Linked DNA regions of Arabidopsis thaliana. The protein of the gene in region 2 purifies or fractionates together with the protein of the main gene of each other region. This does not show direct contact. Each region holds a gene or a part of one and is shown on either strand. Other genes may lie near its edges. The genes, in order: AT1G44835 and AT3G04600.

Region 1 (5,299 bases), on a different chromosome or scaffold from region 2:
AGTTTTCTACAATCGTACCTCCTTGGAAACGACAGTTGGCCAAAGTTCGATGATCGAAACCCAGAATCTTATGTGTTTCAATGGATCTCGTGTGTCAGTTTGAATTTAGTCGAAAAGCAAGGGAAGTTACAATGATTAATCACGGCCGTTTAATTAAATGAAATCCGACGATCGTCATAACGTGGAAACTGTTTTTTCTAAACCGACCATTTTAACCGTATATTTTAGACCAAAACCAAACGAAACCACAAACCGGTTTGTAGTAATATCTCTTACCAATTAGTGGGGGTAAATATGTCTTATTTCACTCCAAAAGCAAGGCAAAGTGCCTCTAGTTTTTAAAGTGTATAAAGTGAATTAAGTTTCTCCGAAAGTGCCTCTATGTGTAACATTCCTTCAAAAAATCTAAAACCAAGTTCAACTATATTTTCAAATTTTCTAAAACCTAATATAGGTGAGTATAAAAACGTTTGCAATATACATATAAAAGTCATATTTCCTATTATTTTAGACTATGTATGATTAATTTGCATTTGTTGGAGATAGAGGGTAAAATTGCAAAAATGAATGAGTTAGAGTTTTTTACACAAAACCTTTTATTTTAGTATATGAAATATCCGAATATTTCTTTTATTCCAGAAAATCGTAAGTTTTAGATGAATGTTTTTCTTACGTTTTGTTCGAATTTCAAATTCAGTTTTCGGATATAGAAAAGGTTTATCTTTGATTGAACAAACAAAGCAACAATAAGTGAATAAATGGTTCGAGCTTTCATGTAAATGTAATCATTTTCAGTCTTATCTAAAATTTGCTGTCCAACGAAGGAAAATATATTGCTGAACCGGTAATGTTTCTCTCCCAAATATCTCCGGTTCAACATGTAAACCAAACCTCTTACAATCGCTTCGGCTGGTGGCGTGTACCAGCATAAAAACCTTCTGCGTACGCTGAGTTCTTGTACATAATCTGCAATCAATTTACATAGAACCAAGATTAGTACAAACGGCTTAGTCTTACCCGATGCGAACCATGTATATCGAAATGTACTCACAGAGAGGTGGGTCAACTCTGAGGTAAGTCGTTTTCTTAGTGTTTCTGCCAAAGCCTCCACGCACTCTCCCTTAGCCTGTATATAAAACCGGTTCAGAGTTGATCTATAAATGTTACGAAATCGACTTTAGTTTCGGGATTGAGTTTACTACCTCGGACAATAATAGAGCCGAAGTTTTGTCCAAAATCTCCTGCACAAATTTCTCCGGGTTCTTGTAAGCTGATGGAGCTGAATTTTCAGCGACGCTCTTCACCTTACAAGCTGGCTTGCTCGTTTTGGCTGCACCGTTGAAGAAAACCGAGTTATATAAACCAATCCTTCACGGTTTAACAAGACTTGGAGCGCATGGTTAAGAAACTGATAAATCAGGCATACCTGAAGCCACAGGCTTGACCTCTGCTGACACACTTTTTGGAAGAGGAATTTGTGTAGAAGATGTTTGATTAGGAATCTCGGGAACAATAACTGAATTAGACGGAACACAAACAGCTAGATCTGGAGCCTGGTCTTTACCAACTACCGGGTTAGCCTGAAACAGCAAAAGGTTCAAAAGGTTAACCCTGAGGAAAGGAACTGTGGAACATGAGTTCTCAAGTTAAAGGTTTAGAGTATTTGCCTCAAGGTCAACGTATACGGGATCTCTCCCAATCGACTTCAGAAACTTGTCCAGACCCAATGTGTTCAGAGCTGGAAATGATAGGAACCAACCAAATTAGATATAAGCTAAAATCTGATGTTATGAACTATTTTGAACCATAAAAGAAAAGTCTGTAATGAAAGAACTTACAGACTGAGACATCGTTAGACAATGGGTGGAAGATGCAACGCGTTTGGTTCTTGAATTTTTGGTCTAACAAGAGAGACACGTCTCTTTAACATGGAAAGTTTTAATAAAGAATGTCAGTCAATGGAAATAATTAGGAACTTGGAAGGGAAAACACCATATGAACCAATACCGTAAGGCAAACAATACCTTGCTGATTCATTTACAACTGCAAACGGGGTAACACATCCGAGGGATACCTTTAACGAAAAAAGAGAGTAGCACGAGTGTCAAAAATTGTAAACATGAATGACAATAAGTTCAATATATTCGTGTGGATTTGTTGTAAACTGCGATAAGCAAAACAAACATATCACCATGCATAAATAGATCATTTAAAGCAATTTGGTTTGGAGAAACTTTTCTTATCAATTGTCAAAAAAACTATCGCTACCATGGTTCCCATGTTACAGCACAATCATTTAATAAAACTCTTTCCAGATATATATAACAAAACACAGTAGCAGAGGAAAAGACTATGAAAAATACCTGCAAAAGCTCACCAAGTGCTTCTTCTGGAGCCATTCTAATCCCTCCTTTTCCAAGACCAAGTCTCTGAGATAAAACTGTTTAAATTAGAAGTCACAGGGAACACACATTAACATCCAAAAAAAAAAACATTCAAACTTCACAAAGCCCAGAGACTTCTTCTATGCCAATATCCACAAACGAAAAAAGGAGAAAACATATGTTACCTTTCATGTCAACTTTCGTATCCACCATCGCTGAAACAATATAATACCGATGTTTCTTGTCCTGCAAAAACAAAATAGAGGCATATGCACCATTAACAATCAACTAATACTCTAACTTGATAATGCCTTTAATGGTGTACCGCTTTGAAAGACTACCTTCAAGAAGAGATTCTTACTCAGTGCACCCTTACTACTGCTAACATACTTGGCCTGAAGATTTAAATACACAAAACAAAGCCTTATAAATCCATCTTTAAACATCATACACTTAAGTTTTAAAAATCTAAAACATTTTAAGGTATATTCACCTGTTCTTCGACGGTTAGTACAGGCGGATGTTCATACTTGGAATAATCAATCTCAAGTTCCTGAAAGATAGATACAAATCCTTAATCATCAATTCACATTGCCACATTTTTTTAACATTGACACTAACAAAACGTGTAACACCAAAATTCTTGACCTAAGGGTTAGAATCTAAAAGTAGACATTGAAAAACTTCTGAGTTCAAGACGACTATACACATAACTTGGAATCCATAGATACACATCCAAATCCATTAATACACATAACTTCTTCAAATAGAATCAAGCATAAAACGAAGTAACATTTTCCGTTCTCTGCTAATGATTTATCTAATCTTATCTGACAAATTCCAACAAAAGCAATGCGAAATGAAAATGATGTAATTGAGTTTAAAGGTGAAAATGGAAACCTGAAGTCGATCAAGCAACTGATCTTTGGTGAAACCCATTGAATCGAAAAAATCAAAAATCAGAGAATTTGGACTGAGAAAGGAGCAAGGAACTGCAGATTTTGTTGAGAAGACGAAAGTTTAGGTTTTGCAGATTTTGCAGTACTGGATTGAAAAACATTAAACCTTCTTAGTAAACTAGAGGATTACACATTGGGCTTTTCAATCCACGACCATACTTAACTTGCAAATGCCTAAAAGGCCCAACATATAACCACAGGTCATAAGAAAATACAAATTTTTAATTTAAAATTAAACTGTTTTAAGTTGTCATAAATGGTGCACCACAAATAAAAAAAAGTCATCATAAATTTGGGCTACGAAAAATATCTTTACAAGAAGGATTGATTGTAGATATTTGAAACTGATTGTGTAGAGTTTAGTCTCGGTGGCGTATTCGCCTGATGATTGACCAGCTTTCTCCAACCTATTAGACGAGTTTGAATGTTCCGAGCTTTAATTTCTTATTTTAAAAATTTTTTTTTTTATAAATATTAGGAGGTTCTGGACCGAATCCCGTAATCTCTCAGACCCGAAACCACAGCATGTAATATTAGTTTCGTCCCAAACGTCACTCGAATCGGCGACCTCTAAGGTTCGTCTAGGGTCTTTACCAATTGAGCTAACGACGCTTGGTTCGATTTCTTATTTTTACCGTTTATGTAATTCTAAAGCATATTGTTTAACCTGTTTTTCTCGTTTATTGTTGTCTGATGTTATTTTTGTAAACTCTTCTCCTCTAAATTGGGCAGCCGATCATAGAGTTATATTTTAATATATGTGTGGTTGATAAAAAATATATATATATTAATATTTTCTAATAACATATAAATATAAAAGTAGTTAGAAATGAATATAAAATAGTTAAAAAAATATTGATTGATTTTTGTGTAAATTATAAAAATCATTAGTTATGTTTAATTAATTATATTTTTGTTGTTGTGTGTTTAATTTACGTGTTTCAACATTTGGGGGACTGACTTTGTGGATTTGGATATGGTTCATTCAAATAGATTTTGCTAGGATTTTTGTTTAATTAGTTGTTTTAATTTCTTGAATAATTAATCTACGGCTTTAAAGAGTATGGTTACTGCTTAACACACTATTCTTAACTTTTTTCTCTGATGTGCTGAAAGAACACTTTTCAGCCCCAATACAACAAAACAATCACTGGTATGAGAAAATAAAATAAGAAATCCATATTTTTTCATCAAATAAGTAATCAATTTTGACTATGTATTAAGACCATCTCCAATGTATAGCTCTATATCTTGTTCTAAAATAGAGTAACTCAATTTTAGAGATGAGTTTTTCTCCAATGTATATCTCTATTTTCTACTCTAAAAAAGAATATTCTTAGAAATATTCTATTTCTATTTTATATACTAATACTTTTTAATTATATAATTTAAAATTTGACCCCATATATTATAGATTTGCAAAATTCGTATAAAATATGAAATTATTTAAATTAAACACTTATTATTTATTAAAAATCATTACATCATATAAAAATAATAAAACATTACAAATTTTATTTTAATTAACACCATTAGAATATTTATTATAAATAACACGGTTAACACCATTAGAATATTTGTTTTAGTTTTTTATGTTGTTTATTTTAAATTTAGTACTTGTTTGCTTCTTGTTAAGTTTATAAAACTATTAAAATTAGTATTTGTTTGTTTGTTAAGTTTATAAAACTATGTGTTGTAATTGTTGTTTGTAAAATGATTATATGCATTAAATAAAAAAAGTTTAAATTTGAGGGACTAAAGTATAAATAAAAAAATTGAACTCAAAAATAGAGTTGAGGATAGAGTTGTTCTATATATAGAGTCAATCTGTAGAAATCTCTATTTTTGAGTCAATTATAGAGTAGGGTTGGAGAAGAATTTTGCATTTTGACTCTAAAATAGAGTAGGGTTGGAGATGCTATAAGCCATTTTAGAGGTAAAGTGTCCGCAAAACGA
Region 2 (5,728 bases):
AAATCTAGGGTTTCGAGTATGAATGAAATGGGAAATGGAAATTGGGGAAGGAGCCGTTAGTGAAGGTGGATGTGATTTTGGCGGGTAAAAAGAAAAAGGGAAAGGAGAGAATCGGGAAGAAGAAATTGGGGGAAGGGGCAAAGACGGAGGAGGAAGGAGAGAAGGGTTGGATTGGGAATTTACAGAAGGGGCAGAAGAGGGAGACATTAGGTTTCCCTTACTCCGATGATGTCCATTTTACACGTTGCCTTCTTCCTCGACAAGGCTATTTATGTCTTTTAGTTCCTTTTTGCTCTCACTCTGCCCTTCGGATTTACTACTATTTACGGACTTGCCCTCTTTGATTTTTTTGAGTCCAGCTACTAAATTGGAAACCACCCCAAGTATTATAAAGCAAAGAAAGGCCCAACTCAACCTATAGATAGTTTTCTCACTCAAACTAATCATTGATTTTGGATTTCATAACTAAACTATACCATTATTTTACCATCAAAATTGACTAATTAAAATTACTTTTGTTAGATATTTGATGTAAATGAACAAAAAATCATTTTTTTTTACTTTTATTATTATTTCTCAGTTATATAAAATTGGTCTCTTTTTGATATTCTGATTTAAAATTTAATATTCTTTTATTTTGATCTTGTAATATATAATTCTATTGAGGTAGGTAATTTTTGTTATATCTTTTTTTTAAAAAAATTCATAAATTTGTAGTTTCACTTTATTCAATTAACAATGCAAATCATTTTAGAATGTGATTCATAAATAAATGTAAATATGAAAATTGTAACTAACAAGTATGGTTCAATTTCAAGGATCAAATCTATCAATAGACACCCAAAGATGTCTGAATCCAAATCAAACGGAGTGATGTGAAGTTGCTGAGGAGCCAAAAAGGGTTTCTGACTTTTTCTATTCGAACATGCTTGGGAGAGGTCTCACCGCCATGAACGCATCAACCATCTGGAACATAAATTTGTCGAATCACTTAGTACAAATGATATTTTGAATCTTGATGATTGACACCAACAAATTTAGTTGATCTTTTTACCTCATCAGTAACAGCAGCTCGAGCCCTGCGGTGTCTCTCCACAATTTCTGTCAACACTTCCGTAAGTCTCTTCTTTACTTCTCCTGTTAGCATTCTTCCTTCTCCATATTCCTGAAACATTATAATCATTGTGTTTTTACTTTTATGAAAAATCCACACAACACATTCTTCCTTCTCTGTATAACAAGCTAGCGACTAAGTGTGATGTTATTATTACCTTTTTAATGTGTTCTAGTTCAGAATCGTCTTCGAGGAAGAAACTCAGATACTTGACGGGTATGTCAACCTATAAAACGTAGAAGGGAGATTACCCCAAAAGAACAATTAAAGCACCAGAACCGATAAGATCAACTATCAAGAATCCGCAACTGATTTAAAATTCTTTCCTAGTCAATTAGTTTATAGCAAGTCCTTCTACATTTCCAGCTGAGTTAGGGGTTAGTTTTTGTTGGCTTGCTAGTACTCTGAGGAACACAATCTAAACAAAGTGAATATTCATTCTTAACTTTCAACCGGATATTACCGCATAAGGAACACAGCTGAGAGTTGCCACTACATAATACAGAATAAGGGACGAAGAGGATACAAGGAATTTGGTACCTCGAGATTTGCTCCAAGTTCTCGGTGCTTCTCAATGGAGTCTTGCCCACCACTAAACGCATATCTGTTTATCTGCATATGAAACCATACCAAGTTTAAATGCTGGACGAAAGTGTCTGAGTTCATTATTAGGACTGGTATTTAATGTTCTGTAACGTGTTTCAGATGCCGTTACACCAGCAAAAGAAAAAAACGAGTGGAAGGACTCGAGTAGCAACCAATCTAGACGATGAATGTGTGTGAAAGCCTACAAGGTTGATGTGGAAACCCAGAATGGCTTGTTATAATAGATGGAAAGAACAAAAAGAATTACAGAATTTACCTTGTTTTTAATGTCCTTTGCGGAATCAGTCACATAGATAGCAGAATTTGGATCACTAGCAGACATTTTTCCATTCTCTCCCTGCGTAAAGTGACCAAGGCAATTAGTTGTGTAAATCAGGAATGTGTAGTGTACTTAAGAAACTACTTGCCTGCAACGCAGGAAAAAATGTTGACTCAATCAGGGCGGGCTTGCTATAGCCTAACCGGGGTGCGACATCACGAGTCATTCTAAAATAAGGATCCTGAACAAAACCAAAAAGAAAGAAAGATTGGTTATAAATACAAATGTGATACATGGAAAACATAAAAGAAACTGATTATGGATGGAAGTATCACATGCTCGCAGTCACAGACATTTTTATACCAATGGGAAGTTATTAATCTTTTAAAAAGGCAAACAGGTTAATATAAAAAGTAAGAAAACAGCACACCTGGTCAATAGCACAAGGAATCAAGCAGCGGAGATTGTCCTTGCCAGGGAACAAATGTGGGAATGAGCTAGGAAAAGATGGAACTGCCTGCAAATATACGGAAAACAATTATACAGTCTATATGCAGTTAGAATACACATAGCCACACCAACAGAACAAACGACATACCTGCACAGGAGGGAAACTGAGTTTCGCGATAGGATCTTCACCGGAAAAGCCAAAGATTCCCATAGCCTAGCAAAGAAGGAGATATACAAATGAAAACCACAAACACAAAGTAGCTATACAACATATCAGCCGCATTGTGCAATTCAAGGAGATAGATAGTAAAGTCACCTTATTAAGTGTAACGCACTTGCCAACCTTCACCATATTTTTATAGAAAGCACTACACACAAAGTTTTTGCATATGATCAGCCAAATATACTGTGATACATCAATCAAAAAAAAAAAAAAAAACGAAGGACAATATATGATCTTACAAATCTTCGCCAAAAAAAAAATAAAAAATTGAGCTACATGCATGTAGACTATATGTACTACCAAGAGCTCTTCAAGCAATATTTTCTACAAAGCAAGAGCGGTGCTAGTTATTTCCATAGAAGATTCGAATGCGACTTACCCGCCAACATAGTCGAAGTCCGAGAAAATGAAGGTCTTTGTTACATCGAATCCACAAGCAATAATATCTTTCGCATTTTCTCTGGCAAGTCTTTGACTTTCCTCCACCGATAAGTTCTTCCATATACTTTTTTCATCATCCGTGAGCTGTATAACAAGGGGAACCTTGAAAGCTTCTTGCAAGTATCTGCAAACCATTTCAAGTATAAAGAGCAAGCACAATCTACCAAATCCGTAAACATGGTAAGACAATACTAGCTCCAGGATCTCACTTACTTGGTAAACATGAAAGGAATCAAATGCCCCAAATGCAATGCTTCTGATGAAGGTCCTCTTCCAGTGTAGAGATAGAACTTGTCTCCTCTCTCATAAGCGTCCAAAATCTCATTGAAATCCCTGTTAAAACCTCACAATTAAAACAAGCAAGACGAGAAATTTCTACACAATTAATTAAAACAGTGAATGTCTAACCGGTGGGCGAAGAAGACACTACGGCGGAGGAACACGTGTGGTTGACGAGAAGTCAGTCTCTGAACACGATCAATCAGTGACTCGTCAAGCCTTTGACATCCAAATTTGTCAATAAGCTTGTCGTAATCGATCTTCCCGCCGTCTTTGGCGGACACTTCCCATGGATTCACCACTTGCTCCGAAGATTCAGCCTCTCTCTCGTCCTTCTTATCCACCTCCATCGCGACGGAAAACAAAAACCTATACAAAAACAGAAGTCAGATTCAAAATCCTATTAGCAAACAAGCTGAATAGAGCTGAATGAAATTGTTATATCCAAGTACCTACGGTTGTTGCCGGTGATAAGACGGCCGTGGATATACGGCGGTGGTTTTGCGACTGGAGATAGTCTTTAGACTGACGAAGAACAAAACGAGGTTTAAGTCATATATTTATTACTATTTGGGAGTCAGAATATTTTATTTTTGTCAATTTTGCCGTCAAGTTTTAGATATACACATTACCCCTTTCTCTCTGGCCCAAAATTAAAACAATTATCGTCATTTATCCCTTTACTTTTAGAGAGAACAAATATCCCCCTCTCGTTAATTTTTTCAATTGTATCACTAATCAAAGTCTTTGACGCCATGATTGCCTTTTTCACTAGAAGTTCATTCATCATCTAAATGCACCGGTCCGGTTTATTGAATATCTTCTTCGTCTTTCTTTCTGATCCGTTAATAATCTTTCCATAGTCTATAAGATGTTATCATAATTTCATAAATTTTCATAATCCAATAGTTGATTAGTTTATGCACTAAAATAGGTGTTAAAAGATTTTAGATATGAAAATCATGTTTTGTGAATTTGAGAAAGAAGAAGAAGGGAGAAGTTTTTGGAGTGTTGTTTAGTGATGGAAGAAAATTCTGATGATGTTTATAACTAAACAAGATATGTCAAGAGATAAAAAAAAAAGAGTGGTGAGTGATGGGACGTTTGATTCTCTCATTGGTCTTTTCATCTCTAAAGGATGCTTCGGTTAGTCAATACAAGACTTGAAGATGCATTAAATCTGAAAAGGCCGGCCTTTGAGTTTTTATGGAGTTCATTTTGTGCTAGCTACATTTTTCAGTACTTGAAATCCCATCCGTTTATGCAATCTCCTAGCCAAAACAGATCATTGAGTTCCAAACAGTTACAAAGTCTTTTTTTCCCCTTTGTTTGATGCTTTGTTGCTTGTTTAGGAAGAAAGTGAATATGTGGCCTAACCGGGGTATTGGTTAGTGATTAAAGGCCTTTGTTGAATACCAATGTTGACGAATGCAAAGTTGAAAAAGGAGTTCAATCTTTTTGTTACACCCCCATTGACTTTATCATTTTCTTTTAATCATTCAAATCATGGTTTCTTTGAAATTGGAGGATATGTTAAATCAACCATGTACTAAATGACTAGAGAAAAGTGAAAAACTGAGAAGGTGAGTGAGTGATCTTTCGTTTCCCTCTGAAAAAATTAAATTTCTGTTTCCTCGAGAAATAAAAACAGATAAAAAAGGGTAAAAAGAAGAGATGCTTTAACACACATAAGTCAAAAACATCTTAAGTCAAATCTAGAAGATCTAACGGTTGAGATTCTATCTCATCATCTTCCTTCTTATCGATTAATATATAAGTATAAAATAATAAAACCCTAAAAGAAAACAAAAAAAAATGCAAAAAGAAAAAATGAAAAAAAATCCCTAACTCTCTCTCTCTAGAAATTCTTATTTTTGTGCGTATCTCTCTAAAAAGGAATGGATCCTAACGAAAGCCACCATCACCACCAACAACAACAGCTCCATCACCTCCACCAACAGCAACAGCAACAGCAGCAGCAGCAACGACTCACTTCTCCTTACTTCCACCACCAACTACAGCACCATCACCACCTTCCAACCACCGTAGCAACCACCGCTTCTACCGGAAACGCCGTTCCATCTTCCAACAATGGGCTTTTCCCTCCGCAGCCTCAGCCACAGCACCAGCCTAATGATGGGTCATCTTCTCTCGCGGTGTACCCTCATTCAGTTCCGTCCTCGGCTGTGACGGCGCCGATGGAGCCGGTAAAGAGGAAGAGGGGTCGACCAAGAAAGTATGTGACGCCGGAACAAGCCCTAGCGGCTAAGAAATTGGCGTCTTCTGCGAGTAGTTCGTCTGCTAAACAGAGGCGAGAGCTTGCTGCTGTTACCGGTGGTACGGTATCGACTAATTC

What was found.
Region 1: the proteins of AT3G04600 (region 2) and AT1G44835 fractionate together in Arabidopsis thaliana (co-fractionation; one large-scale study listed by BioGRID). This does not show direct contact.

What each region holds. Positions count from the first base shown.
Region 1 is NC_003070.9:16,937,933-16,943,231, reverse strand, and holds AT1G44835 (YbaK/aminoacyl-tRNA synthetase-associated domain-containing protein), read right to left. Parts: upstream 3,432-5,299; 5' UTR 3,324-3,431; coding exon 3,285-3,323; intron 2,938-3,284; coding exon 2,878-2,937; intron 2,780-2,877; coding exon 2,726-2,779; intron 2,631-2,725; coding exon 2,570-2,630; intron 2,441-2,569; coding exon 2,364-2,440; intron 2,075-2,363; coding exon 2,025-2,074; intron 1,922-2,024; coding exon 1,839-1,921; intron 1,739-1,838; coding exon 1,668-1,738; intron 1,581-1,667; coding exon 1,427-1,580; intron 1,331-1,426; coding exon 1,200-1,330; intron 1,127-1,199; coding exon 1,052-1,126; intron 967-1,051; coding exon 895-966; 3' UTR 709-894; downstream 1-708.
Region 2 is NC_003074.8:1,241,146-1,246,873, reverse strand, and holds AT3G04600 (Nucleotidylyl transferase superfamily protein), read right to left. Parts: upstream 3,946-5,728; 5' UTR 3,825-3,945; intron 3,742-3,824; 5' UTR 3,723-3,741; coding exon 3,502-3,722; intron 3,427-3,501; coding exon 3,307-3,426; intron 3,218-3,306; coding exon 3,032-3,217; intron 2,798-3,031; coding exon 2,746-2,797; intron 2,644-2,745; coding exon 2,578-2,643; intron 2,497-2,577; coding exon 2,410-2,496; intron 2,221-2,409; coding exon 2,128-2,220; coding exon of another isoform or gene 2,124-2,127; intron 2,058-2,123; coding exon 1,977-2,057; intron 1,727-1,976; coding exon 1,655-1,726; intron 1,341-1,654; coding exon 1,272-1,340; intron 1,166-1,271; coding exon 1,055-1,165; intron 967-1,054; coding exon 916-966; 3' UTR 663-915; downstream 1-662. Other genes in the region: AT3G04590 (AT hook motif DNA-binding family protein), read left to right, coding at 5,271-5,728.